Linked DNA regions of Arabidopsis thaliana. The protein of the gene in region 4 interacts with the protein of the main gene of each other region in a biochemical or structural test. Each region holds a gene or a part of one and is shown on either strand. Other genes may lie near its edges.

Region 1 (7,687 bases), on a different chromosome or scaffold from region 4:
CACCATGACGAACAGAACAAAAAAAAAATACGAAAAATCGAAATCCCAGAAAGGAAGAGAAGAAAATGAATTCGATTTCAGTTACTACTTGAAAAAATGAAACAGCAAGAGCGAGCTTTATATAGGTAACCAAAGTTCTCTGTTACAGTTTTAATTTTACGTTTAACATAAATCTTGTGGGGCCTTATACACGTCAGCAGATATATCACGAGAAATTCAATAAACGCTGCCTTTTCGTGAATATTGATAGGTGACTACCGTCCACGTGGATAGATTTATGTTGGTGATAGCTTTCGATGCCTCAATAACCGTCCGATTAAATTTTAAAAAGATATAATATCTTGATAACTTATTTGACTATGAGTAAATTACACAACAGAATTAAAAAGAAAGGCAAAAACGTGTCGCCACATTTTCTGTTTTATCTTGTTATTATCTCTTGCATCTAGTAGTAAATGGTAATGTTGAAGAGATGATTTTTTGAGATGTAATAATGTCTATATAAGGAAAACTTAGTAAATATTTGAAACAATGACGTGTTGCCACATTTTTCGTTTTTATCCTTTGCACACCTAATAAAGAGATAACAAATGTGATGTAATGTGGATGTAACTACTGTGTCTGGTTAGGTAATTCAGTAAATTTAAACACACGGACGTGTCGCCACATTTTCTGTTTTATCTACAAATTTGTTTTTCAAAATAGCATCACCGGATAAACATGTTGAAAAAATAAATAATAAAATTAATGATAAACACGTAGAATTAAAATATAATTTTCTCTATAATTTATAAACACGTAGAATTAAAATGATAAACCTGATATTTACGTTTAAATCCAAATACATGTTATCTTGGTTGTACTGCTGATTCAAATTTGATGGTGATGGAGATAATAAAAATTTAGTGTGTGTTTAAATCAAGATCATGTAAACCCTGTTTAAATATGCCTTGCTATGTCAACAAACTTATTTTATACTACATAGTTCCGACTCAACGATTATCTCGGTCTAATTAAGACATGAGACATCACATAAACCATTTTGGTACATCTAATTTTCACGTACGTTAGAATATTTTTTATAATGTGATATTCTTATTAGACGAATCTATGCACATCAGCACATGGCATATATGAATAGGAAATGAACTGAAAACATAGATTCACAAAAAAAAAAAAATGAAAGATATTATTAAGAAAGTGAGAATAAAAATCCTAAATTTTTCACGCTACCTGTACCAACACCACAAGACACGGATATTCCGAAAAGAACGGAAGCCATTACACATTGATTATACACCATAAAATTTTATTACTTATATGAGTAAAAAATTGATTTTAAATAAATAAATAAAACGGCAAGTTGTGTACGGAGCAAATGTAGCAAATCCTATGCAGAAGTCGATCGTACAACAAGATTGAGATCGAATATCGCATTGATTCCAATAAGAGAGTTGGTGAATCGATGTATATGGTTTTAGGTTGGTGGCATATTTTATTCAACTGAAGTTGCCATTTTTTGATGATTCTCGAAGATTATAGACTTAAGACTTAATTAGAAGTTATAATCATAGTCAGTTCCAAAAAAAAAAAAATATATATATATATATATATATATATCAGATTTCGAACTAACAGTAGTTTGCTATTCAATAAGTGATTTTCACGATGAAAAAGCCATAAAATAAAAATAAAAATTGTTGGTGCCAGCTAGAATAAGACTTCGAATAAGCAGAATAAAATGGTACTAAGCAGAATTAAATGGGCTTTTTGGAACTCTGTTTTTGGATTGGGCTTTTTAATTTGGGAACCAACAAATGAGATTGGCCCATTCAAGAAACATATAGTAATAATTATTAATGTATTGTATTCGCCTCGGTCCATCTTAAACTCTGTATGCTCCGTTGACTTGATTGGTTTTACGCCCCAAAACAACGCCGTACCTTTGGATAACTAATCTGAACACCAATAAGGCAAGAACTAGCGAATCTATCAGATCCAACCAGAGTTCCTGTCCTAAAACACATTGTTCATCATTACAAATACGAGCCAAAAGAACAGAGAGTTTAATACTCAAAAAGACTGAAACCAACCAGGGACTCTATTACAGACACATGAACCTCTTCATATTTCATCCATTACTATCCAAATTTTTTAGTACATGAAAACATAGAGATGATTACACCAACAAACTCTAGAGAACCTGTCCGAGATTTCTACAATTCCAATCTAATAATGATTCCCGACAAAAGGAATCGAACACAAATCAGTTCTGTCTATAGGCAATGTAATTAGCCAAAGCCAACAAAGGAGCAACCTTATCAGAATCAAACCCTAAAAGCTGATCACGAGCCTCTCTATTCAATTTCTCAGCAAACTCTCTCGATTTCTCCAAACCCATAATCTTAGGATACGTCAACTTATCAGCAATCAAATCTTTCCCAGCAGTTTTCCCTAACTCTTTCGACGATTTCGTCACATCCAAGATATCATCAACCACCTGAAACAACAAACCAATACATCTCGCAAACTTTCTTAACCTCTCAATCTCATCATCACTTCCTCCACCAACAATAGCTCCCAAAACAGCAGAAGCTTCAAGCAACGCCGCCGTTTTATGCAAATGGATAAACTCCAAATGCTCTAAACCGACGTCGTTTAAATCTAACCCTTCACTACTAATATCCACGACTTGACCCGCCACTAACCCTTCTGTTCCTATCGCTTTAGCCAATTCTCCAACGGCTCGAACCACTCTCACCGGAGAAACAACATCAGAACTCGTCGCCGAAGCTAAATGCTCGAAAGCGAAAGAGAGAAGCGCGTCTCCGGCTAAAACAGCGACGTCTTCACCAAACACTTTGTGGTTGGTCGGTTTTCCACGGCGGAGATCGTCGTTATCCATACAAGGGAGATCGTCGTGGATCAACGACATGGTGTGAATCATCTCGACGGCGCAAGCTGCTGGCATAGCGGTTGATTCTTCACCTCCGACGAGTTCACAAGCAGCGATGCAGAGAACTGGTCTAACTCTTTTGCCACCGGCGAGAAGAGAGTAACGCATCGCTTCGTGGATCTTGAGTGGCTCACGGAGAGGAACAGCTGAATCTAAAGCTTTGTTGACTAATTCGGCTTTGGTGATGATGTACGACATGAAATCGAAAGAGGATGGTTCAGATTGGCGTAGATTGTCTTCTTTTGTAACAACGGAAGAAGAAACGATTGAAGAAGATGATGAAACGGTGCGTTTTGATCGAAAGGAGATGGGTTTAGTAAGAGTTATAGGACAAGATCTGGATCTGGATTTGGTAAGGATTGAAGATGGATGATGATGATTGTGGTGGTGAACAACAATCCATGAACCTAGAGTCACTGAAGCCATGGCGATTTCTGAAATCTGAAATTTTAGATTTGAGAATTTTTTATATTAGTATTTATTTTTTTTTGTTTTTTTTGGAAAGTGGAGTCAAAATTATGAATGGAGAATTGGATTGGCCATTAGTGAGAAGCTAGGAAGTAACAGATAGGGTTGTGTTACGGAATGGGCCTTGTTAGTGGTGGAGATGACGATCTTCACTTTTATTGAAAAGCATCTTTTTTCTTTTTTCACTGTTTTTGTTTTATTGTTTTTAAGTCCATGGAAAATGTTTTTATAGCATAAAGATGATATTTTTCTGGCTTAGATTACAGATAAATTACTTGTCAGTTTTTTAGATTTTTTTCTTTTTATTTTCAATTCTATACCACAAATATATACTATTGTTGTTTTGGTAAAATATCAAAATCTTAAACACATAAATCTCATCTGTTATTTTTTTCTATACCACACATTGAATTTAGATGATTACGTAGTGATTAATGATTATCTTGTTTTGTAGATTTGTTACACGAAATTAGTAAAAATGGCATAAAAAATGCATACGGGTCACAAGTCCCACTTGTGGACATTTTACACGAGCTCGTTGATCTCTGACAACTGCTTGGTTTTAACTTATTAAAAGCGCGCAAACTACCAAATTTATTGTTGGAAGATAGATATAACTGAAATGGGCCTAACGGGCTTTAATGGGCCAAGCTGGAACTCAACAAACAGGTACGAGATTTTTGAATTATTCTGATTCAGCGTCGAGAAAAAAGCTACGATTGTGTGTTTATTATTATTGCAACCATTTCTCTGCTGTTTCTTCGTCGTTTAGCTTCAGAGGACGACAATCCGGTAGGCGAGAGAGAGAGATTAATCAATCGGCGACCTTTTTAATTCGCTCGTAATTCGTTTTGATTTTCGTGTTTTTGCAACGAATTTAACAACTTGTAAGCTTCTTCTTCTTCTTCCTTCATTCTCTTTGTTTGATTGTCTTGGTGTTTAACTTTCGATGTTTCGACCTAGTCGTTGTTTTGAGATTTCTGATTCTACTTATGTGGAAGGAAAGTCTTCGATCTTTGAACCTGTTAAAGTAGATTAGCTTGTCTTGTAATAACGCGTTTTCATTTCTGAGATTTTGGTTATAGCTTTGTTTTAGGGATCTTATGATTTGGGATTCAATTATTGTGTGAAAGTCTAATAAGCTATGTTACCAAGATTAATATAAAAGTGGGCATATGAGTTTAGTTGCAGTTGTGATTTGATATATCGAAAGGATCGATTTTTTAAGGTCTTCTTTGATCTGTCATAGAATTAATCATTCATTCTTTGATTTGTCACAGCTGTGTGTGTGGGTGTGAGTTTCTTAAGAGAAGTCAGAAACAATGATTGGGTTGTTTAAAGTAAAGGAAAAGCAAAGAGAACAAGCTCAAAATGCTACTAGAGGAGGAGCTTCTGTTAAGAAGCAATCTGCTGGCGAACTTCGTCTTCACAAAGGTATATAAATGCCTTGTTGATCTTTTTTTTGTTCTTGCATCTCCAAGTTTCAATTTTTGGTGTTTTTTCCGATTTTGAACTGTGCAGATATATCAGAGTTGAACCTTCCTAGCTCTTGTTCAATATCTTTTCCAAATGGCAAAGATGATTTGATGAACTTTGAAGTATCCATTAAACCTGATGATGGATATTACCAGTTAAGTAGTGCTTTTTTTCCCACTGAAACCTGCGTTTTTGTCTCTTAAAAACTTTTTGGAAACTTATTTGTTTCTTTCTTACCAAATAAACAGCAATGGTACGTTTGTTTTCACATTCCAAGTCTCTCCTGTGTATCCACATGAAGCTCCAAAAGTTAAATGCAAAACCAAGGTAGGCCTCTCCTCCTTTTACATGCCTTATATAGTTTACAGCTTCTACTTCAAAATCGTTTGTGTTGTAGAAACTCTTTGTTGGTTTTCTTGTTTAGGTTTATCATCCCAATATCGATTTGGAAGGAAACGTTTGCCTGAACATCTTGCGTGAAGATTGGAAACCTGTTCTTAACATTAACACAGTTATCTACGGACTCTTCCATCTGTTCACGGTAATTAACCGGACAGTTCGATCAAACAAAGGTTTTTGTGTTATTTGGTTTCTGAACTGAGTGATTGTTTTTCACACAGGAACCCAATTCTGAAGATCCCTTGAACCATGATGCTGCAGCAGTTTTGAGGGATAACCCAAAGCTCTTTGAGACCAATGTTCGCAGGGCCATGACCGGTGGATATGTCGGTCAGACCTTTTTCCCGCGTTGTATCTAACAAAGCTCTGGTTTGTCTTCTTCAAGGAAAAAGATAAGAACCAAACCCTTTGTCCGCCATTGTATTTCTTCTCTTTCTCAAGGACCCTCGTTTGTTTGTTTGATCTTGTAAAATTACATTCCGCGTTAAAGTAACCCTTTCCTTATATCGAAATCTTGTCAACTTTAAGTTCGTGAGAATTCGATAAAGGAGACTAAAAGGAATTGTATAACATGTTTGATCTTTGTCATTTCTTGGGTTCCTTATAAATCATTTGTTTAAATTTCATTCGAAATACTGTTTGAAATATAGCCTTCATAACTGGATTTTTTTTTGTTTGGTTCGGGTTTGCTAAAACAATATTCTTGTTTCAGGTTTAGATTAAAATATAAATCACATCTATCCTATTCGATTTCCATTTTGATATCTAGAAAATAATCGATTTCATTCAACGTTTGATTCATATTTTTGTACACACGTTTTGATTTATTCGGTTTTAAAAAAAGCTTCAATTCTGTTTTAAAAAGTCTTGCTATGGCCTAAGGAATAATATGAAAAAACAAATGTTTACAATCCCTAACGACTAATGCTAGATCCAAATTCCTGTCTTTAATCATTATATCAATTTAGTATTTTGATTAAAGAAAAATAATTTTAAAAGTCCGAAAAGACACAAACTCAAAATTTTAAAACTATTTTTGAAAAAACAAATGAAAACCTAGAATGATTAATAATAGAAAAAACAAGTTGAAATATTTACAATCGCTAACTACTAAGGTTGGATCCAAAATCCGGTTAGTTTTCACATAATTATGTAAATTTTGTAAAATATTATGTAAATTTAGTATCCGAAGAAATATATTTATTTTTTTTCTGAAAAAACAAAACAATAAAAAAGCTTTCACAAATTAGAAAGAAAAAAATTAATAATTTAAAAGATATTTTTAAAAAATCCGTAAAAACTGAATATTAATTCTACATAATAATGGGAAAAATAAGTTAAATGGTTGGAATCTCTAACGACTGAAACTATATCCAAAATTTGGTTAGATTTCTTATCATTATATATTTTATTTTTAAAAACAAATACAAGTTTGAAAAAATTTATAAAATTCCAAAGAAACAAAAATAAGTTAAATGGTTGGAATCTCTAACGACTGAAACTATATCCAAAATTTGGTTAGATTTCTTATCATTATATATTTTATTTTTAAAAACAAATACAAGTTTGAAAATTTTTATAAAATTCCAAAGAAACAAAAACACAATTTTACAAAACCTGAATTAAAAACTTGAATTCTAAATTTAGATAACAATAAGAAAAACAAGTTAAATGTTTGGAATCTCTAACGACTGAAGTTGTATCCAAAATTCCGTTAGATTTCTTATCATTATAAAAATTTTGAATCCAATATTTTTAAACAAATACAAGTGAAAAAACTTATAAAATTCCGAATAGAAACAAAAATACAATTTAAAAAATCTGAATTAAAAACTTGAATTCTAAATTTAGATAATAATAGGAAAAACAAGTTGAATGTTTGGAATCACTAACGACTAAAGCTGGATCCAAAATCCGGTTAGATTTCATATCATTATATAAATTTAGAATCCAAATAAATATTTTTATTTTAAAAAACAAAGCTTCTAAAAATCCGAATATAGACTAAATAAATTTTTAACAACTATGTTTAAAAATCCGATTAAAATTTTGAATGATAAATCTAAATAATAATAAGAAAAACAAGTTGAATATTTGGAATCACTAACGACCAAAGCTGGATCCAAAATCCGGTTAGATTTCTTATCATTATGTAAATTTTGAATCCAAACAAATACTTTTAAAAAAAATCAAACACAAGAGGAAAAAGCTTTTTATATCATAATAGCAAAATAAAAGTTTTAAAAATTATTTTTTAAAAATCCGAATTAAAAATTTGAATGATAAATCTACATAATAGCTGGATCCAAAATCCGGTTACATTTCCTATCATTATGTAAACTTTGAATCCAAATTTATATTTGTATATATTATTTTAAAAACAAATAC
Region 2 (6,716 bases), on a different chromosome or scaffold from region 4:
ACGAGTTTCTGAGAAATATTAAAAGAGAAGACTCTAACAAACAATGTCTTAAGAATCAAAAGGTTCTGCTTGTGGCAGACAACGTTACTAAGGTTAAACAGTTAGAAGCTCTTGCAGGGGATTTCAGCAGTTTTGGTCCTGGGAGTGTTGTTATTATCACTACAGACAACAAGGGGTTGTTGAATTCTTATGGTATAACAGATGTCTACGAAGTTGAGCATTTGAAGTTTTGTGGAATCTTACGATCATTGGGCTTTAAAAAGAGAGCTGCTGCGTTCCAGCGGGCTTTGTGTAGAGCAAAGAGTTTTGCCACGGAATGTTTTTGTTGTCAAAGTAGTAGTATATCTGGTTATGGGAAAGTGACAGATTTAGTTTAATTAAGTTGAATCCCTTATTAGTCATATGCATTAAGTTAAGTAAACTTAATAAGTTGTGTGGCTTAGAAATAATATTGTTTTGTCTATTTTTGGAGTGGGTTGCTCTTGGGGTGTAGAAAAATGTCACTCTTCATTGGATTAAGTAATATACATTTTTTTGTTCCTTAGTTTTTAAGACATTTTTTTACATCTGGATGTGCCAGTTGTTTGTAATATACTGTTCTTTCCTTATAGAAATAAATATTACACAATTTTTTAAAAAAGATTTATGTATTTGGGAGGGTTTTTTGATGTTTGGACATGCCCAATAAAATTAAAAATTAATACAGGAGACACAAAGTCGCTAACTTTCCAAAGTTGGAATCTACATATGTCTAAAACAGAGAAGAAAAGCTTTTAAACTTTTTACATGACGATCCTCCAATAATAGTAATACACTACTACAGTTCAAAGCCACTGACAAGTTTCTCGCTTTTTTCCCTTAATGAGAAACTCTTTTAACCTGCTTTTCTGATTTATGCTCTTTGGGTACGTGGAAGATTTCAATCACAGACTAACGTAATTAAATCATTTATTGGAAACTGTGAGTCAAGCTGAATAAACTTGATGCAAACGAATAGATATGAAAGAAATTGGGTTGATCAACAAAAAAACAAGCCGACAAAAACTGAATCTCATGATATGTTTTCGTCCGTCAGTTTTAACCGTTCGTTTGATCGGATAATCAAAACCAGTAAATGCCAATAATACACACCAGAAAAGTAAGATGATAATTTTTGTTCGTTAGTAGTATTTTATTATTATCATGCTCATCATTTTCTTACTTTGGCGGCCCATCTTTTCTCTTCCCCTCTTTCTGAGTAGTTTAGTAAAACAGAACCTGACAGAAAAAAATAGAAAATGCCAGGAAACACACACTTAGCAGGAAGACTATGGGAGTCTCTAACCAATGCACATGCTTTATTTAGTTCAACTACTCTCTAGTGGTCTATAAATATCGTTGAGTTCTTTATTTCTATTACTCATCATAGTTCTCAATAGAGAGAATCAAAAATCAAAATGTCTTCTCCTACTGCGACTAAGTACGACGTCTTTCTGAGTTTCAGAGGACTCGACACTCGTCGCAACTTCATCAGTTTTCTCTACAAAGAACTCGTTCGAAGAAAAATTCGAACTTTCAAAGACGACAAGGAGCTCGAGAATGGCCGGAGGATTTCTCCGGAGCTCAAACGCGCCATCGAGGAGTCGAAATTCGCCGTCGTTGTGGTCTCTGTGAACTACGCTGCGTCTCCTTGGTGTCTCGATGAGCTTGTGAAGATTATGGATTTCGAAAACAAGGGTTCCATCACCGTGATGCCTATCTTCTACGGCGTGGATCCTTGTCATTTGAGGAGGCAGATCGGAGATGTCGCTGAACAGTTTAAGAAGCACGAGGCTAGAGAAGAAGATCATGAGAAAGTAGCTTCGTGGAGACGAGCATTGACCAGTTTAGCGAGTATCTCCGGCGAATGTTCATTGAAATGGTGAAATTTCGTAGCGTTGGTTAGAAAGATTGGATTTTTATTTGATATGTCTCGTTACTAAAGTTTCGATTTTTATTTTGTTTTCTCTCTGTAGGGAAGATGAAGCGAATCTGGTGGACGAAATTGCTGACAAGATATCAAAAAATCTGATGACTGTTACAACAATAAGCAATGGGAGGGACCTAGTTGGGATTGATACACACATGAAGGCTCTTAACAAAAAATTGGATTTGAATTCCAACAAAAGTTTGAGAGTGGTTGGGATTTGGGCAAGAGGATACAATGGTAGATCAGCTTTAGCTAAATATGTTTATCAAGACATCTGTCATTGGTTGAAGGTTGGTTGGTTGAAGGTTTATCAAGATATCAAGACAGCTTCCAAACTTTATGTTTTAACTCGTTGGTTGAAGGTTGCACATTTGCTTCATAGATCACATCACTCTTTTAAAACTGAGTAGCCAGCCAATCAATAACCCGAATTTCACTGAGAAATCCCCACATTTGTTATGTTTCCATACTACAAAATCATCTATTGACACCACTAGTTAGCTGTGATCTTATAAAGATGAGTAAGCCAACCAAACCAATAACCCAAATTGGAAAATGTGAGTCAAGCCGAATAAACTTGATGTAATAACCTATTCGTTCTAACTTGAAATTGTTATTAAAATCATCCTTATCAATTAGCCTTTCTCGTCCGTCAATTGACTTAGTTCTAACCATTCGTTTGATCGATAATCAAACAAACAGTTGAATCTTCTTCAACCAATTAAATTAGACTACGAGTAACTAAATGCCAATACACGAGAAAACTAGACTAAGAGGAGAATTTGTGTTCGTTAATATGTTATCCATACTCATTATCTTATTTTGGCGGCCCATCTATTCTCTTCCCTCTTTCTGAGTAGTTTAGTGAAACAGAAGCTGACAAGAAAAAATAGAAAATGCCAGGAAACACACAGTTAGCAGTAGGAAGACTCTTATAGGTCAACTTCTGTAGTGGTAGTGCCTATAAATATCCTTGAGTTTTTTATTTCTATCACTCATTGAGAATCAAAAATCAAAATGTCTTCTCATACTGCAACTAAGTATGATGTTTTCCTAAGTTTCAGAGGGCATGACACTCGCCACAACTTCATCAGTTTTCTCTACAAAGAACTGGTTCGAAGGAGCATTCGAACCTTCAAAGACGACAAAGAGCTGGAGAATGGCCAGAGGTTTTCGCCGGAGCTCAAAAGCCCCATCGAGGTGTCAAGATTCGCCGTCGTTGTTGTCTCAGAGAACTATGCTGCGTCTTCTTGGTGTCTCGATGAGCTCGTAACGATCATGGATTTCGAAAAAAAGGGTTCCATCACCGTGATGCCCATCTTCTACGGCGTGGAACCGAATCATGTGAGGTGGCAGACCGGAGTACTCGCTGAACAGTTTAAGAAACATGCGAGTAGAGAAGATCCTGAGAAAGTTCTTAAATGGAGGCAAGCATTGACCAATTTTGCGCAACTCTCCGGCGATTGTTCAGGGTGAAATTTCGTAACTTGGTGATAAAGATTGATTTTTTTTAGGGTTTGTTAAGATTTGAGTTGAATCAAAAAGATTGAATTTTTTTATTGTTTGATTTGAATCGATGCTAAAGTTTGGATTTTTTTGTTTTGTCTCTGTAGTGATGATGACTCGAAGCTGGTGGACAAAATTGCTAACGAGATATCAAACAAGAAGACGATTTATGCAACAATATGATGAGTCCAGACGAGAAGAAGAAGAAGAAAGGAGAAGGCCCATAAGGACTCGCATGCCCAATCCAAAGTATTCCCAACACTAAGTCATTTTACTTAGTCTCTGTTTTCGATTTAGTTACAATAAGCAAGGAGTCTTCCACGATTACAGTTTCCATCTTTTCCAAGTTTGTAGAAGTTGTTACTCCACGTTTGTTTCCATGTTGTTTCTAGTTGTAAGGAGGTGTACTCCAAGTATTTATATCAATGAAAAACAAAACAAAAGGTAGTCTTAACTAACAATCGTTTATCAATTCTAAGAACTAGAATTCTCTTTGGTTTTGAAGAGGGACCATTACAATAAACAATGGGAAGAATCTAGTTGGGATTGATACACACATGAAGGAACTAATCAGCTCTAGCTAAATATGTTTATCAGACATCTTGTCAACAGTTTGACAGCCATTGTTTTCTTGGAAACGTGAAAACGATTTCTCTACCAAGTGTCGTTAGCTCAATTGGTAAAGACCTTAAGCGAAAGCTTCGCTTAGGGTCGCCGGTTCGAGTGACGCTTGAGACGAAACTAATATTACATGATGTGGTTTCGGGTCTGGGTGGATTACGGGTTTCGTTCAGAACCTCCTGGATTTCAACAAAAAAAAAAAAAAAAAAAAACGATTTCTCAGGGTCGCCACTCATCTACACGACGAGTTTTGAGAAATATTAAAAGAGAAGACTCTAACAAACAATGTCTTAAGAATCAAAAGGTTCTGCTTGTGGCAGACGACGTTACTAAGGTTAAACAGTTAGAAGCTCTTGCAGATGATTTCAGCAGTTTTGGTCCTGGGAGTGTTGTTATCATCACTACAGACAACAAGGGGTTGTTGAATTCTTATGGTATAAAAGAAGTCTACGAAGTTGAGAATTTGAAGTTTTGTGGAATCTTACGATCATTGGGCTTTAAAAAGAGAGCTGCTGCGTTCCAGCGGGCTTTGTGTAGAGCAAATAGTTTTGCCACGGAATGTTTTTGTTGTCAAAGTAGTAGTATATCTGGTTATGGGAAAGTGACAGATTCAGTTAATTAAGTTTAAATTCCTTAGTCACATGCACTAAGTTAGCTAAACTTAATAAGATGTGTGGCTAGGGGTGTAAAACAAATATCACTCTTCATTAAATTAAGTAATATACACTTTTTTTTCCTTATCAAATCTGTGTTTGAGTTATAACCTAAATGTTTGTTGTGTGTCTCTTTCAAGTCTATATTTTCTTAAAAACAAAGTTTGTATAATTTCTTGGGATTCCCATGACCATTTGTTCTTTGAATACCCGAATTCTCAAAGGCAGTTTGGTTGTCAAATAAAGATTACACAATTTATAAAAAAAGATTTGTGTATTTGGGAGGGTTTTTGATGTTTGGACATGCCCAATAAAATTAAAAATTAATACAGGAGACACAAAGTCGCAAACTTTCCAAAGTTGGAATCTACATATGTCTAAAACAGAGAAGAAAAGCTTTTAAACTTTTTACATGATGATCCTCCAATAATAGTAATAGTGTAATGGTACTATACTACTACAGTTCAAAGCCACTGATTTATGCTTTTTGGGTACGTGGAAGATTTCAATCACAGACAAACGTAATTAAATCATTTATTGGAAAATGTGAGTCAAGCTGAATAAACTTGATGCACACGAATAGATATGAAAGAAATTGGGTTGATCAACAAAAAAACAAGCCGACAAAAACTGAATCTTATGATCTTTTTTCGTCCGTCAGTTTCAACCATTCGTTTGATCGGATAATCAAAACCAGCAAATGCCAATAATACACACCAGAAAAGGTAAGATGATAATTTTTGTTCGTTAGTAGTATTTTATTATTATCATGCTCATCATTTTCTTACTTTGGCGGCCCATCTTTTCTCTTCCCCTCTTTCTGAGTAGTTTAGCAAAACAGAAGCTGACAAGAAAAAAATAGAACATGCCTGGAAATACACAATTACACCACTTTAGCAGGAAGACTATGGGAGTCTCTAATCAATGCACATGCTTTATTCAGTTCAACTACTCTCTAGTGGTCTATAAATATCCTTGAGTCCTTTATTTCTATTACTCATCATACTTAAGTTCTCAATAGAGAGAATCAAAAATCAAAATGACTTCTCCTACTGCGACTAAGTATGATGTCTTTCTGAGTTTCAGAGGAGTCGACACTCGTCGCAACTTCATCAGTTTTCTCTACAAAGAATTCGTTCGAAGGAAAATTCGAACTTTCAAAGACGACAAGGAGCTTGAGAATGGCCGGAGGATTTCTCCGGAGCTCAAACGCGCCATCGAGGAGTCGAAATTCGCCGTCGTTGTTGTCTCTGTAAACTACGCTGCGTCTCCTTGGTGTCTCGATGAGCTTGTGAAGATTATGGATTTCGAAAACAAGGGTTCCATCACCGTGATGCCTATCTTCTACGGTGTGGATCCGTGTCATTTGAGGAGGCAGATCGGAGATGTCGCTGAACAGTTTAAGAAGCACGAGGCTAGAGAAGAAGATCATGAGAAAGTTGCTTCGTGGAGACGAGCATTGACCAGTTTGGCTAGTATCTCCGGAGATTGTTCATCCAAATGGTGAAATTTCGTAGCTTTGGTTATAAAGATTGGATTTTTATTTGATTTGAATCGTTACTAAAGTTTCGTTTTTTATTTTGTTTTCTCTCTGTAGTGAAGATGAAGCGAAGCTGGTGGACGAAATTGCTGACAAGATATCAAAAAATCTGATGACTGTTACAACAATAAGCAATGGGAAGAACCTAGTTGGGATTGATACACACATGAAGGCTCTTAACAAAAAACTGGATTTGAATTCCAACAAAAGTTTGAGAGTGGTTGGGATTTGGGCAAGAGGATACAATGGTAGATCAGCTTTAGCTAAATATGTTTATCAAGACATCTGTCACCACTTTGACAGCCATTGTTTCTTGGGAAGCGTGAAAAGGATTTCTCAGGGTCGTCACTTATCGCATCTACACGAAGAGTTTCTGATAAGGATTCAAGGAAGTAAACATAATCTCAAGGACCAAAAGGTTTTGCTTGTGGCTGATGATGTTTATAAG
Region 3 (8,609 bases), on a different chromosome or scaffold from region 4:
ACGCTCGTAGAGATTTGCTAATTCAACTGATAGGAACTTGCTCCATGACGCAGCTCCCGTACTCTCAATCGTAGTTGCAATCCATACATCTATATGGAGTTCCTGAATGATAGCAACACATATTTTTGGATCTTCTCTAGTAACTGCTAAAGCAAAAACAGGATCAGAGAGATGATCACCCGGAAGAGACACCCTTACAAATCTCTCCGTTGAAAAATCAAAACCAAGTAAAAAACTACTACTGGTCAAGTCTTTATTAGTAGAAGCAAGCCAGTAAGTGTTTCCATTCACAGACATGCCACGGTCCATACACCTTGGTATGAACCAGTCTGTAATCTTACCAACAACTCTCCACGAATTAGAGTTAAAGTCATAGATTTCGTAGTTCATAAATTCTGGCCTATCAGGATAAAATTGATCCATCCTCATGATTTTGTACTTGTTGCATGATGATTTACCGAGAGCAAATATATCGAATTTCTTGTAGAAATTTCTTGGTTGGATCCACTTAGTATCACGAGAACAGGGATTCGAAACAACGAGTCTATTGTCTACGGTGGTGCATAGCAAGAAGCCGTCGCAATGAAAGACGTTGCATATATCAACTTCTTCTAAAAAATTTGAAAGAGGATCTTTCAGGCGAAGTTGACTTATTATGTTTACCTTGTTGTTGTGAATTGTATGAAGATCGACGCTCACGAGATAAACCCTAAAGGTCATCAACATGATAAGCAGAGAGTGCCTTGGTGCATTAGTAAAGTGCTGCTCAGCAAATCTCTTATCTTCGATCAGAACGTTCCATCTTTTGGATGTAGATTGTAATCGGACCAAAGTTACGGTCGGAACCCTCGCGAGTATCTCCATTACCAAATCCTCGGGAAGATCTACTATGTTTCTCTTCGTCATAAGCTTTAAAGACAGACTAGGTTTTTATGATACCTTGAATCCAAAGAAACTAGAGTTCGGAGATGAAAGTTATGACTTATGAGATCTACAAATATATATATTTGTGAGTAAGTTACAACTGTCGGTCAAAATTACAATTTCTTTGTTTTGTTGTTAACATATATACTAAAGGTATGTTATTGGTTTATGATTTAAATAGAGTTTTAGTGACTTAAAATGTTATGTAGAATATGTTGTTATTCAATAAGATTTTTTGAAAAATTTGTTAAAGTTTTGTATTATTAGTTTAAGATTTGTGAAAAGTAATCTAAAATCTTCACAAATCTGGAGTTAATGGATTAATACTTTCATAAAGTCATTAATTTTTTTTGTTTTATTCAATTAAAACAAAAGAATCTACTATTGTAGATGAATTAAATTGTTTTGTAATTGGTTTATGACTTTCTACCATTTGTTTCACAAAATAAAGTCATGAAAATATCATTAAAATATAGAGATTGTTTGGAAACTTTATAAGATTGTAAAAAACCAATGTTCAAAAAATTGTTAGGCGTTCGATAGGGGCCTAACGCCTAGATCAATTAATCGGGGGCTAGGCAAAGCCTAGGCGTTAGCACATCATTTTACAAATTTATTAAACATTTTCATAATTTTATAACAAAACATTGGTTAAAATATATGAAATGTTGAAAATATTACCTATTTGAATTTATAATATATGTATATTCACACAAAATTTCTATGAAAACTAAATTAACTTATTCTGAAAATTTGAGAATAATTAATTGCTAACTTACAAGTTTAGTAATCAAGTACTTTTACTTTATTTTTCACTTATTCAAAACGATCATATTTACATATACTAAACTGGCCGATTTGACCGGTTAATACTGATTTTGAACGCTTAAACCGAAAACCCTATTTGATTCACCGATTTCACTAAAATCGGGCCGCCTAGGCCGATTTTTTGAACCTTGTGAAAAACTAATCAATAATATTATTGAAAACTCTCTACAAATAGTTTATAGTTTAGAATCTTTCATTTATTTACTTTATATGATATTATTAAAGTCTTCAAAATTTCTTTTTAGTTAGGAACCAATAACACCTCCTAGTTATTTCTTCCTTTTTAAGATTCAAACACTTTTTGCATGTATTATGTGTTTTGAGATACAGTAAAACCTCTATAAATTAATAAAGATGGAAGTATGATATTTTATTAATTATAGTGATTAATAATTTATCTATAATTAATATATTAATTTAAATTTAAATTATTAATTTATAGAGATATTTGTTTTAATTTTTCAAATTTTAGAAACTATGAGATGTTATAAATTTTATAGTAATATAATTGAAAATTTAATATTTAAAAAGCTCATTTGACAATAAATCACAAAAACTATAATTGAAAATGATGCATACTAAGAAATTAGAAACTTACAAAACATTATGGCTAATTTTTTTACAAAGTTATAAACGATTCTATAATTTGACAATTGAAAACCCCAACATAATTCAATCAGACTTAGAGACAAAACAATTGTTTGATAGAATAAAAGTTAGAGACAAACTCTAACAAGATTCAATACTTAAAAGACATTAAAACCATATTTTTATATAAAGCTTTCCAAAAGATTATTATATTATTATTTTATCGAAGTTTGTTAATTTTTACATCGGCCCAACTCGGAATTTATAGAGGTTTTACTGAACTTTTGTTACAAACAATAGATTACAACATGTAGGAAGACTACTAGACTGATAGAAACCAAAAAGAGTCATCGCCTAAAATGGATATTGACGACAGAAGGTGGCATGAAAAGTGTTTGTTGAATAGAGATGGCAAGTGGTAAATGAGGATGGAACAAGAATGAACATATCTTCTTGCTTCGACCATCTGCAGTTCCACACTCTGGTCCTGTTCACCATTAGACAATCCTAACGTTAAATCATGTTCCGTGCGGTTTGGGTTTTCGTCATCTTAATATCTAAACAACTAAAACAACCAACCTGGTTTTATCTTGAATTTCAGGGTTTGCGGTTGCCTTCGAGATATGAACTTGATTGGGTTGTCTGAGGATTGCCTATGCCTATCTGCTGCGGATATTAACTGTAACCATATCCGAAATTAACTTAACTCAATCCTGAAGTTGAAGAGAATAAGGGTTTATAGAATGGTTACCTTTTCATCGAACCGGAAGAGAGACTGGTCGAAATATGGGGAGGGACTTTGTGACTGACAACTGAAAGGCAAAGAGAGTAACATCTTCTTCACAAACTGTATAGAAAAATTGATTAGATTCAACTCTCTCATAAAAACCAACATATCGAAATACAGAGATGTACTTACCTGAGAAAAACTGTTTGATTTGTTCTTCGTGTATTTTAGTTGTTCAAGGGCATAGACGTTGTTAGAATGCGATGTTACAAAGTTCATGAACGGTGTACTACTTGATACTGTAAAGTGATCACTGAACTGCTCAAATAATTGGTAAAGATCTTCTGCTGAGTTCTGCATATAGTAATGTACTAAGTCAAGTTATAAGTAGATGCAAATTCCACAAAATAACTGGCCAAAATGACATCCATTTTACCTGATAGAATGCTACAATGTCAGTAGTCTCCATATTATACACCGCGAAGAAAGCTGGATGATGATCAGCACTTCTTGTTACCTGAGTAACCCATCAACAATCATAAGTCTAATCAATCAAATTGTAATTTCTGAAAATGACAGTATCAGTTCAATGTAACCATGAATTTGTATTATAGAGAGCTTACCCCACCGTCTACACTTCCAAATTTGATTAGCAGGTGTTGTCGATCCAAAAACTGAACCTGGACATCAAGAATACACAAAAGATTAGTTTTTTTCACCATCAAATCCAAACACTTGACACAGATTCCAAAAGCAGAAACACATAATTGATTACCTTCCATATAATCAAGTCGACATAATCCTGGAAATGGAAATAAAACTTCTTCTTAAGACTTTGAACTCTCTGTCAAATCAAATAGTGCCTTTCGATTAGTTCGTATCCAAGATGTAGTGTTTCAATACGACACACATTGCAAACTACAACGAAAGGTCGAAAATGCAAAGAGCATGTATATGATAAGCTGCATCAACTAAGAAGTCACTGTCAACTGCATCAATCCTAAACCTTAAACTTCTGTTATCCTACTCAACATCTAACAGAGGAAGCCAAGCAGTACACAAACATAACCCATTTAATGTACAAGATTGTGAAACTCAGAGCAATTTCATAAAGTGATAAGAGAAGTTGAAGAACAACGAACCATTACGTTATCTGATTCTTCATTCCAAATCTCCCTGAAGATAAAAGAAAGTAACCGTTGCTTAACACCACTAAGAAACGAATTCGAACCACTTGGCTGACTTAGACTATGACGCAACCCATTCTCTCCAGTATCATCTTCCTTACTCCCAGATAAACTCTGCTGTTTACTCTTATCTTGACTCATCATTGCCTAACAATCAAAAACCTCACAAAGCTCAAAACTTTATCTACTCCAGAGAAAGATACTGTAAAAACTTTGCTTACCTGAGAGCTAGAATTGAGGAAAAGCTCATCATCTTCACGACAAAAGTAACCAATAGCACGAGCATCAACAAGATGACCAGAATCTCTAATCTGAAGAAGATGAATCCTCTGATAACGCAACGACAAAATCGCTAAAAGATCATCATAAAGAAACACACCCATATTATGAGCCAGATTAACGAAATCATGAAGAAAAACCCTCTCATCAAGAACAACACCATCATCTAATCGAAGAAGTACGAAAGTAATCTTATCAATGGAAGGAACACCAGGAACAGCGTCATTAGAAGGAGATGATGAATCATGGATCTGAGCTGTTGAAGTAGCGAAAAGACCGAAACGACGAGTTTGGTGATAGAGGAAGAAGTCTTTGCAGATGAGTTCGTTAGAAGAAGCGAGATTGACTGAGTAGAGTTGAGTGAAAAAGCTGTCGAATTTCGAAGCACGGCGAGGTAGAGGAGGTAGGGTGGTTGTGGAATCATCGGTTGTGGAGTAAGTGAGCCAAGAAGGACGATAGACTATGAGTTCTTGATGGTTACGGCTGAAACTAATGAGGAAGAGTCCGTCTTCTGTGAATTTGCGGAAACAGTGATCGGGAGATTCGACATCGTAGAGTGTGTAGCTTGGGACTAGGTTTTCGTAGAAGTGTCTTGCACGATTTACCTATCATTGAAGGTAAAGAGATAAGCAAAAGAGAGATTGAGATTGAGAGATTGAGACAGAGAGAGAGATTTGGGGACTGACGGAAGCGCCGGGAGGAGGAGTTCGAATCTGACGTTCGAAGACCCGAGCGGTGACGTTACCGCTTGTGAACATTTGTTGGCCCAGAAGGGCACGAATAAAGGAAGGTTTTTGGTCTGGTTTTAGTGGTGAAAATGGAGGAGACGATGTGAGTGAGAGAGAGAGAGAGAGAGATACTGTGGCTTTGTTTTGGTTCTGTTGATTTTTCTCTTTTGGGAGGTTGGTTTCTCTCAATCTGTTAATGGGCCTGATATTGGTGTTTGAAAATGGCCCAATAGTTGCAAAATTGGGTCATTGGCACTTATCGGTACTACTTCCTCTTTGTACAATTTCTCTTGTTGTATTGCTTTGCTTAGTCGGAGCTTAAGTATGGACATTCACATTTTGGATCGGATTTTGGATCGGATTCGGTTCGGATTTTCGGATTCAGATGGGAAAGTTTATTATCCGGTCGGGTTTTATGACTATTCGGTTTGGTTTCGGTTCGGATAGTGTCGGATTCGGATCGGTTTTTGAGAAAAAAAAATATATATTGTTCCGTTTTAATAAAATTGGTTTAATTTTGCAAAAAAAATTGTATAATTGTAACAAATATAACTTAAAAATTCGGACGTATAAACCTGTAACTAATATTTTTGTTATTTAGAAATTTTTGGGTATAAACCTGTAACTAATATTTTTAGATAGATATAATTTTATTTCGGATTAGCGGATATTTATTCGGTTTTTGATTCGGAATCGGATTCGGCTGAAGTAATTTGGGTAGGTGAATTCATTATCCGTTCGGATTTTGTGACTGTTCAGTTCGGTTTCGGAACTTTTTTCGGATCGGTTCCTATCTACCTACCATTTTTTACTTCCCATTTTGTTGATCGGTAACAACAAGAACTGCAGTGGCAATACACTTGTTGGAACGAATCATACAATCAATACACTTGTTGGTAAAGCCTTATGCATCTCAAAGCCAGCTTCTTTGCTAGTGAGGGCCTTACTTAGGGAACTTGAAAGAGGATTGAGTTTGAAGTTGAAGCTCAAACAATTTAAATCATATAAAGATGGACGTTACTGTATCGTGAAGTCACAAAGAACACTGAACAGAATCTAGAATCCGACTGTACATATTTCAAAGCTGTGACTAAAGCAATACATAAGCCAAATTATAACTTAAGAATGCTTCACATTACAATCAACATATTTTTTGCCTATTGGAATGCACAAGGGAATGTAAAGAATCGACTCTGTTTATCCGATTTTCTGTCTGCACAATCACGAACGTGTACACTCGATACCCCGACATATAGCCAACCAAATACCAAACAGTGTCAAGCAAATAGCTGCATCAATAGCAAGAACAATCTGAACTAACCGCCGCCATTTCCATTCAAAGCTTTGAGTAACAGAACGTCCACTACTCGACACACACTCCTTCTCCAACGACGTTCCAGCTCCCGCTGAATCATCGGTTATGTTCCCTCTATCATTAGACTTCCTGTGTTCCTCAAGCTCAATCACATGATCTTTCCCTTTCTTCTTCTCTTGCTTACTTAACCTCCCCAACAACGGAGCTTTAGTAGAATTCGAACCTTCGCTTTGTTCACCAAGATTACTACTCTTCAATTCATTGTTACTACTACTCTCAGCAACACGTTCAAGAGAAGCTATAAGTCTAGTAACAACAGGAACAAGCTGATCTTCAACATTAATAGAACCAATCATAGCAGTAAAACTTCCTCTAGAATTCTCCCTAGCAGCTTTCTTAAATTCATCTCTCAAATGTTCAAGAAACTTAAGAACACTAGATCTCTTCAAAACCTCATCAACAATGGCGAAATAAACAAACCCATCTCCAATTAAAAACCCAAATCTTCTTTTACCAATAGTTTCAAAGTACCAAGTATGAAAAGGAGGAGACTTTTCTAAACACAGAGCAGCAAGACTCTCGTTGGTTTGGTCTCCACCGTTGTAAGAGTAAAGAATCTGATTGTCTCTTGAGACACAACAGTAATGAACTGTGTTCTTGATTAAACCCATCTTTTTTTTTGTTTTTTTAAGAAATCAAATTGAGACAGAAGAGGAAAGAAGAGAAGTCTGTGATTAGAGCAAAGAAGAAGAGAGAAATTGAGATGATGGAGTCAGAGAGAAAGTCAAAGAGAAGAAGAAAGTACCAACAAAATCCTTCGGCGATGTCTTCAAAATCGAGGATGAATTCTCTCATTCCTCTTCTTCTTCTCTCTAGGGTTCTTGGGTCATGTGTGAGCTTTTTGTTTGAGATGTTTATCTTTGTGATGAAAAAGTCAGAACTCGACGACCAAACTAGAGGACGTGGTCCACAACACTAAAAAAAATGTATTATTATTTTCTATATGTATGTAACAAATCGCAAATAAATTAGGGGAAATTGATAAAACTAGCATGATTTTTTTTGGTTAAAAGTATAAAATTAGCATGATTTCAAGTTAAAATTGGTAATGAATCAAATATTCATAAACATTTAGTAGAGATTTATACGCTCAAAATTAAGTAATTAAAGATTATAATACTATAATTAATTTAATGATAAAGACCGTAAAGACAATGACAAATTCTTGGCGAACTAAACAGAAATAGCGACGGACAACAAAAAAGATAACATTTTTGGACAAGATCTTATTCGATTAATAATAATTTAGGGGTTAACACACATGAGTAAGATCTCTTTCGCATTCGCTTGACGATTTTGATTGCGAGAGATGAAATTGAAAGAAGAAGAAATAAAAGTAGATGATAGAGATAAGATATCGTATAAAATCCCTTGAAGTTCTTTGACTTGAAGCTTCTGGTTAATTACTTTGACAAAGATTAGATAGTGAGAAGCGAAAGAGATGAACTTGATGTCCAATGCGATTGCAACTCCAACGGACAATTAAACTATTCATTTCTGCTAAATCGAGTTATTCAAGCTTAAAAGCGTTATTATAGTTAAGTATGCATAGATCATTTTTGTAATTCAATTTGGTTTTGTAGACTCTCTGTCTTCAAGAGGTGTAGTAGACGGTATAGTTCAGATGAGTATAAGAAACTGATTAGGTGATGCTAGCAGGAACTGATGTGGTTGCCGAAGTCCGGCCTGGAAAATTTTGAAGTCCTAAAGTTTTATTGTTGGTTCTTGCAGATAATTCACTTTCTTGGATCCTTTACTAAATTTACATTTAAAACTCAAGTATTTGGCCAGTTATCGGTATTACAAATCAATTTCCCAAAATTGCTTTCGATATTTCTCATAAAAATGAGCTTTTTTAAAAAAATGATGGACTCTTAAGCCATGCATATTTTTAAAAAATGATGGACTCTTAAGCCATGCATATTTTTTTCCATCCCGCTTGGGAGTTGGATCGGACATGAACTACCGAGATC
Region 4 (7,332 bases):
AAAGATCAACCAATCAGAACACTATTTTTGCATTTATATCTTTGGTCTTAATTAACATGAGAATATAAACAGCGAGTTAGCAACATTCATTAGGATTTTCCTGTTTAAACTCCAGATATCGAATTGCCATACCGCAATTTTTTTGAAAACCAACAAACTCTTCGATTCAGCAACAGAACATATTAATTAGCAATGGATTTGAATTTGTTTTCGCTAAAGTGAGTTAGCAACATTCATTAGCAAAGTGTCGTCTTGTCGAGTTGTCGTGGTATTACCCATCCGGTGGGTTCAATTCATATTGTGTGTGTTGTATGTGAAATTAAAACTGTTAATAAGACAAAACCAAATTTGTAAATAATTTGACAAGTATAAGGTCTAATCTCATAAGAGATAAACAAAATAGAATAAAATAAACTCAAACTTGCAGAGATAAACAAAATAAAATAAAATAATTAGGAAACATATCATATTTTTTTTTTTATAGGAAACAGATCTTAGACATGTATAAGGTCTATCTCACACTCATTAAACAGGGAACAGTATCTCAGACATATATAAACTCAAACTTGCAAGCTTACACGAAACAAAACAAAAAGAAAACAAGTTTGGTTCTTTTCGTCTCGGTTCTTCAGGCAAGTATATATGATCATGTGGTGGTGTTTGAGTTTCTTGTATGTAAATGTTATACGTCTGTAGATACACTCATTGTATATATCTAATATTCTAATACAACAACTTTTCTGGCGCTATTGATTTTGCAGAGACAAGTTATATCATGGAGGACTATTCTAAGAACTTGTTCCTATTACTTTTCTCATGCACAGCGTTGATTATCAGCTACTACAACGTTGATTCTTTAAGTACTGCATCAGTCGTCGGATTGAATTACGGACTCCTCGGAGACAACCTCCCATCTCCGTCCAATGTTATCAAGTTCTACAAATCTCAAAACGTTGCGAAAATCAGGATATTCGAGCCAAACAAAGACGTCCTAAACGCTTTGCGTGGAAACCGAGATATTGGAGTCACCGTAGGCATCAAGAACGAAGACTTGGAGGCACTTGCAGCCAACAAAGACGCAGTTAAATCCTGGTTCTCCACTAACATTGATCCTTACATAGCCGACGTGAACATAACATTCATTACCGTCGGAAACCAAGCCATCCCGGGCGACAAACATGGCCCTCACGTGCTTCCTGTCATTCAATCTCTCACCGACCTCGTCAAGTCAAGAAATCTCCAGATATCAATCAGCACCACGGTCACTACGACGAGCCTCGCCAGGTTGAAACCGCCTTCTGCAGGAGTTTTAACACCCCAAGCACGTCAACAGCTTGTCCCCGTGCTGAGATTGTTGTCTCAAACAAGTACACCGATCTTCGTCAATATCTATCCTTACTACTTCCATGCCTCCGACCCAAAGAACGTCCCTCTCGAGTACGCCAATTTCAATAACGACCAGATCGTGGTCAAAGACGGTGCACTAAAATATTCCAACTTGTTTGATGCAATTTTCGACGCTTTTCTGTGGGCAATGGAGAAAGAGGGAGTGAAAGGTTTACCTTTGGTGGTGTCGGAGACCGGGTGGCCCTCTGCCGGGAATGGAGGCATGACGACACCGGCTCTTCAATATACGTACATTGGTAACTTTGTGAAGCATGTTGCAAGTGGTAAAGGAACGCCTAAGAGGCCAAATAGTAGAATTGATGCGTATATATTTGAGACGTACAATGAGAACCAGAAGCCAGTTGGAATCTATCAGCATTTTGGGTTATACGATCCTTACTGAGACGACGCCCATGTACACGCTCTTCTGATCCTCGATGTTGTGTTCAAGTGGTCAGTTTTTACTGTTTCTCTTAAGAATCTGTGTTGTCAAAATAATGCTCTAGTATTGTTTGTTTAGGGGTTGAAAGACCCATTTAATAAAACTTATGGTTTATAATCTAAGTGGGTTTCGAGTTAGCCTTATTAGAAATTTCACTTTAGTATTTGGAACTACTAAATTGAAGGAAAACACAATTGAGGATCAAAAGAGCGTTTGGTACCCAGCTCCTATGTTTTTTTACGAGTAAAAAACTCTTTGCAGGATTTTTACTTTTTAATTTTGAAATCAAAGACGTCACCCAAAGCACAACCATAATAGGTTTAGTGAACACTGAACAGTAAATCTCTGTTTCCACAAATTGTAAAATACAGTACCAAAAAAAGGGCAAAAACTTGAACAATCTTTAGTTATCATATGCGGTGGTAACCAAATGAACCTGATGTCTTCACGATTAGACACATGCTTGCTGGAACCATTTGTTGATTTAGTGACCATATTTCTGAAACTCCCACTCACTGTTATCTGTTGAAACAACTCAGCAATATTAGCAAACAAACAAAAACTGCATACTAGTCAAGAAGCTTAAAACCAAGAAACACATACCCAATGGACAAACTTGACGAGTCTTTAGCCATCTGCTGATGCAGTGAAAGTGGAAGGCGTGATTGCAAACCCCTGCAAGTACATATTGAGTATCTTTCGTTAGGGAAGGCACTAAATAATTTATGTATATCCACTTGAGTTGTCACATTATAGAAAAAAGATTCGAAAAGGTCATCACACAATCACATACATCTTAAAGGAATACTTCCTACTTTCTCTAATACTTCCTAGCTAACAAGATTCACCCTCCAAGTGGTCATCTTTCATTGAGCAATCAAGAATACAGAAATACTTATTGCAGTTATTTTGGTCGTCCTCTGAGTTTTTAATTCATCATCAATCGTACAATCAACTGCAAGACTATGAAAGCATGTAAACACAATAACTACAATTTGGTCTCTCTCTCTCTCAGAAAATCTTTAAAACTCCATAAATCTAATCAACTGTACTACTCATCGACCAATCTAGATTGCTGCAAAACAAGGAACAGGGTCTGCTCTCAAATAAAGCAAAGACATCTATCAGAGTGATACTACCACATAAGTAAAATTCAATGTCAAGTTTTAAAACACGCACTCAGAGATACTAAAATTGTTTCACACAACACTTTCGCATACAGTTTTGTGTTTCTAGATTCACAATTACGATAGCTACAATTATAAACCAAATCAAGTTTCCAAACAAAAAGCAACGATTGAGATCATGATCATAGAAGAAGAAAAATGCTTACCCCAAGCTACAGTGCACTCTTCACTTGTGGCACTGGCCTGATTAGCCTGACACTCGATACCTAACAACAAACCAAAACACAAAAACGAAATAAGCATAAACATTCAACATCATCGTTACAAATTCCAAAATCAATCGATTGTTTTAAGACTTACAAAGATCCATGATGTGGTTTCTGCAGATCGCACAGTTGTCAACAACGATATCTGCAACCAAAACAAAGATCAATCAATCAATAAAACTCTTAACCTAACCAAAAATTAACATCGTAACACAAACATCGAAACATCGAAAGACCAATTGAAGATAGTGTATAAGGATTTTCGAGGTTACCCCAAGCCCAGAGAGCAACGGCGCTCCACTTCTTAATTTCGAATCGCTTAGCTTTCTTGTTGGAAGACGACGCGGCTACGCTGCTGGAGGCTTCTCCGGCAGGAATCATGGTAACGTCGGAGTCTAGAGTCGCCATTAATCTCTGATCGGAAAGAAAATTTAAACCCTAGAAAAGCCGGAGAAAAATATCAACGTTTGAGCTGTCGCTGATTTTGTTGTAGAGAGAGATTGTAGAGGAAGAAGAAGAGAGATATATAAAGCAGCTTTGGGCTTTGCCTGTATAGTGGGCTTTCGTCGGAATTAGATTCCCGTAAATTTCCATAATTCGGTTTAAGGTTTCCTTTTTTTAATCTTACTCATCCTACGATTTACATAAATATTTTAATTTTTCCTTTATTATCCCAACGATTTTTATTTATTTAATTGATAAATTAAATATTTTTAAGCAAAAAGATTACGGAAAATATCTATTTTATATAATAAAAAAAACATATATATATATTTTTTTCTAACTATTCCCAGAAGATTTACAATAACTATATGACTAATTAACTAATCATTACATACGCTTAGTTCAAATTAACTGGAAAATCATTACATCATAAAAGCTTAGCGTATTCAATGCATCAAGATGTTAGAAAATAGTGTCAAGATATTTTTCTACAAGCCATAAGAGTTGCATATAGTTAGATGATGTATATGCTTCATGCCACCTGCCTCTGGTCTCTGAGAGCTGAAACTTTCTTCCGCAGTTCAATATTTGATATTCTCTCCACCTCCAGAGCTCGTTCAAGCTACACAATCCGTTGGTTTTGGTTTAGCCTCTCATAGTAAACAAAAGGGTTTGAATTCGATAAACTCGATATTGGCTTAAGATTTTTCACTATCATATTGCTGCATCTCTAAAACATACAATGAAGAGAGAGAGAGAGAAGAGAAGATTGTACCTTTGCAGCTCGCATACTCCATTCTCCAAGAATAGCTCTTAACCTTTCATTTTCTGCTACATACTGTTTCAGGAGTTTCAAAAACAAAAGATGATGAGTTCAGGGATCAGAAAAAATGTGTAGCCCTTGCAAATTGTTTGATGCAAAAACAATTCATGGTAAAGCTGTGTTGATGATAAACATGATGTGATGCTGTGAAAGTATGTTTTGTTCTCATATGTTCTTATGTTTATAGATAGACTCGAACCTGATTATTGGTATTCCGGACGTGTTGTATCTCTCTATCTCTCTCAGAGATCAGAGATCGAGCGAGATTAAGCTCTGAATGGAGTTGATCCACCTGCAAGACACACAATTTTCATTTAAAGATGCTACATCAAGGATACTAGCCTTGAAATGTCAATCAACTATGATATGTTTTCCACCAAATGGGTAAAAGAGAGATGAGAAAGAAAAATTAACCATGGGAATTTGCAAGTTTATCATTTGTTAACCGAGCTTTACCTCAGCAGATAGTGTTCGTAATTCCTGATCTCGAGTTGCCACAAGATGCGCCAGATCAACCTGAAAGTTTAACATTTATCAAATGCAAAAATTAAAATCCCAGTGGAAGGAAAAAGTTATACATTACTTTTAAGAAAATTTATTAAGAATGTTGTTAGAATGTGTACACGCTGATAAAAAGAAGTCAAAAATTCAGAATGGAGCAGTTCAAACCTGAGGCGTGCTACTACCATTCGTTTCATATTTACTTAAGGACTCCTGCAAACGCAGAATCTGAAACAAAACAAGAGAGGTCAGAGACTCACTCTAACGAAAGCATGGGAAAATTCAGAAAATTAGGGTAGACAATGAAGAGCTAGAGAGAGCATTGAACTTAGAATTACTAGTAAGAAACATCACAAGCATCAAGATTCAGAAATGAAGTACTCATGATAAATATTCCATGGATTGTCACCTCTTCACTGAGATAATGGAGATTCTCGCGTTGATATTGCAGTAGAGCCATTTGTTGATCAGAAAGGCGACCGGCTTCATGGTATCTGTGTTTCAAGCAAAAAAAACGAAGTAAGACTTGAGAATTGTAAAAACATTTGCCATTTGCAATATAAGGTTGCGAGGTAAAGCAAAGTTTTCATGAAGACTAGGAATAAGGTTTCAGTGAGATTGTGAAAGTACCTCAATCCTTCCAAAGCAGCTGGTTGAAGAGGAGAATATAATGAATTTAAGACATCGGGCTGAGAATTCACTGAGTTATACTGGCGAACATAACCTACCAGTATTAAAATACAGATAAGAACAGCTGCATAATAACCTAGCAACAGAATCTCTTACTAAAGACAAACAACAGAAATATTGTAAGGAAAAAAAGATGCCAAAAGAACACAATATGCTCTAGCCAATCGTTTTTTGAAGACACGGTATGGAAATTTCTGCATCAAGAACAAAGAGTTTTCAAACTGAAACCCAGAACACAAATTCTTAAATGATCTCCTGATACTCAACCACAAACTATAGCCAATTGTAAGAACTGTATACATGATAAATGTAAACACAAATGTATGGCCGCAGATGTAGACAATTTTGATAGTGATTTAGCATGCATATGATCGCGATAGATCCCAGATGCAAATATGCAATGGAATGGTTTCAGTTAGTACACCATAAGAAATGAAAACTGATTATAAATCTGACACTTGGCAATCATGGCATGAAAAATTTAAGATGAAGAAAAACCATCACGACGTAACAGCTGAACCTGGTGTATTTCATATATCTCGCAAATGGAAAGCGAATCGATTTGGCACTATACTGCTCTATTTGAGATACTAAAATGAAGCTCAATGCATGCCTGATAGTATGAATATGATTATATGGACCTTATTCTTACCAACAAATACAATCATAAAAGAAGCAGCAGAAATTGCTTCAACAGACATGATGAACCTGCAAAATAAATATACTCGTAAGCTTTTTCGACCACGCCAAAACTAAACTTACTTCACCCAGTTGTTCTAAAATAAAAATACGCAAGACATTGTCCAGTTCAAAATCCTATTTCTAGTCAATGGCATCAATATTAAACTTCTTATATGCATTCAATTTTAGCTAAGATATTGGTAAATAAGTTAAGTCAAATTTCTCAACCTGAGTAAATGAAAACAGATTCTCATTAACTTAGACGTTTCACTATGACACTATGTGATGTGCAATAATTTTCTTAGCGAGACAAGTTAAAGGCTTGAGTCAGAATCTTCCTACCATTCTTTATTGTCAAAGACAAAAGAAAGAAAACAGAAAATGTGATCAACTGGAAAAGAAAAACTCATAAGAGTGTAAAAGCAGTTAATGTATAAAAAGAAGGCTGCAGACCTTTGCACAGTAAAAATGGGTAGAACACTGACATATGGTCTCCACTCCATGAAAAGTAGCATAGATGCAGTCCCTAGAACAACACGGAGTCACTTTATTGAGCACAAGAAAGGTATATATGTAACAATTTATGACTAGGAAAGTAGCATTAAAGATTACCATAGGCCATGATTGCAAATGGCAGACGAACTACATGTTTCAGTTTCTGACTGAAACTGTAATAACCCTGCAATGGAAGGTTCTTTCAGATGAAATGATTACAACTACACTAGAGAATATCAACCTATTTCTATACGGTTTACAAAAGAGATAAAATGAGCAGGATCCGTCTTGTTAGAGTAAATGTTACCTGCAAGCGTATTTTCTGGACCTGATTGACAAAATATTGCTGAAACATACCTGTTGCAGAAAGTACTTACGATAATTTATACATATCCGGCAGAATATTTTATAGCTGAAATTGGACATAATAACAATAAAGCAAGAAATTGTTGTTCTAACTACAAATTTACTAGGCAG

What was found.
Region 1: the proteins of RBX1 (region 4) and RCE1 form a complex in vitro, tested with the Arabidopsis thaliana proteins (one study listed by BioGRID).
Region 2: the proteins of RBX1 (region 4) and TIR form a complex in vitro, tested with the Arabidopsis thaliana proteins (one study listed by BioGRID).
Region 3: the proteins of RBX1 (region 4) and DET1 form a complex in vitro, tested with the Arabidopsis thaliana proteins (one study listed by BioGRID).

The regions. Positions count from the first base shown.
Region 1 is NC_003075.7:17,339,208-17,346,894, reverse strand, and holds RCE1 (RUB1 conjugating enzyme 1), read left to right. Parts: upstream 1-3,859; 5' UTR 3,860-4,311; intron 4,312-4,704; 5' UTR 4,705-4,746; coding exon 4,747-4,858; intron 4,859-4,945; coding exon 4,946-5,054; intron 5,055-5,148; coding exon 5,149-5,227; intron 5,228-5,324; coding exon 5,325-5,441; intron 5,442-5,520; coding exon 5,521-5,658; 3' UTR 5,659-5,963; downstream 5,964-7,687. Other genes in the region: AT4G36820 (calcium uniporter (DUF607)), read right to left, coding at 1-6; GGPS1 (geranylgeranyl pyrophosphate synthase 1), read right to left, coding at 2,267-3,382. UniProt on the Arabidopsis thaliana protein: Accepts the ubiquitin-like protein NEDD8/RUB1 from the ECR1-AXR1 E1 complex and catalyzes its covalent attachment to other proteins.
Region 2 is NC_003070.9:27,436,511-27,443,226, forward strand, and holds TIR (toll/interleukin-1 receptor-like protein), read left to right. Parts: upstream 1-2,729; 5' UTR 2,730-2,965; coding exon 2,966-3,420; coding exon of another isoform or gene 3,421-3,424; exon of another isoform or gene 3,425-3,463; intron 3,464-3,561; coding exon 3,562-3,637; 3' UTR 3,638-3,954; downstream 3,955-6,716. Other genes in the region: AT1G72910 (Toll-Interleukin-Resistance (TIR) domain-containing protein), read left to right, coding at 1-377; AT1G72920 (Toll-Interleukin-Resistance (TIR) domain family protein), read left to right, coding at 1,437-1,900, 1,995-2,358; AT1G72940 (Toll-Interleukin-Resistance (TIR) domain-containing protein), read left to right, coding at 5,768-6,231, 6,326-6,716.
Region 3 is NC_003075.7:6,343,225-6,351,833, reverse strand, and holds DET1 (light-mediated development protein 1 / deetiolated1 (DET1)), read right to left. Parts: upstream 5,424-8,609; 5' UTR 5,292-5,423; coding exon 5,220-5,291; intron 5,139-5,219; coding exon 4,476-5,138; intron 4,402-4,475; coding exon 4,210-4,401; intron 3,912-4,209; coding exon 3,843-3,911; intron 3,748-3,842; coding exon 3,691-3,747; intron 3,585-3,690; coding exon 3,504-3,584; intron 3,422-3,503; coding exon 3,260-3,421; intron 3,188-3,259; coding exon 3,092-3,187; intron 3,020-3,091; coding exon 2,920-3,019; intron 2,828-2,919; coding exon 2,688-2,827; 3' UTR 2,520-2,687; downstream 1-2,519. Other genes in the region: AT4G10190 (F-box and associated interaction domains-containing protein), read right to left, coding at 1-906; AT4G10170 (SNARE-like superfamily protein), read right to left, coding at 6,483-7,247. UniProt on the Arabidopsis thaliana protein: Component of light signal transduction machinery. Involved in repression of photomorphogenesis in darkness by participating in the CDD complex, a complex probably required to regulate the activity of ubiquitin conjugating enzymes (E2s).
Region 4 is NC_003076.8:6,954,593-6,961,924, forward strand, and holds RBX1 (RING-box 1), read right to left. Parts: upstream 3,720-7,332; 5' UTR 3,630-3,719; coding exon 3,494-3,629; coding exon of another isoform or gene 3,440-3,493; intron 3,367-3,439; coding exon 3,316-3,366; intron 3,222-3,315; coding exon 3,162-3,221; intron 2,749-3,161; coding exon 2,677-2,748; intron 2,504-2,676; coding exon 2,432-2,503; intron 2,351-2,431; coding exon 2,313-2,350; 3' UTR 2,068-2,312; downstream 1-2,067. Other genes in the region: AT5G20560 (Glycosyl hydrolase superfamily protein), read left to right, coding at 776-1,789; AT5G20580 (TMEM192 family protein), read right to left, coding at 4,198-4,287, 4,441-4,503, 4,688-4,780, 4,945-5,004, 5,158-5,217, 5,399-5,483, 5,620-5,713, 6,332-6,387 and 3 more. UniProt on the Arabidopsis thaliana protein: Component of the SCF (SKP1-CUL1-F-box protein) E3 ubiquitin ligase complex, which mediates the ubiquitination and subsequent proteasomal degradation of target proteins.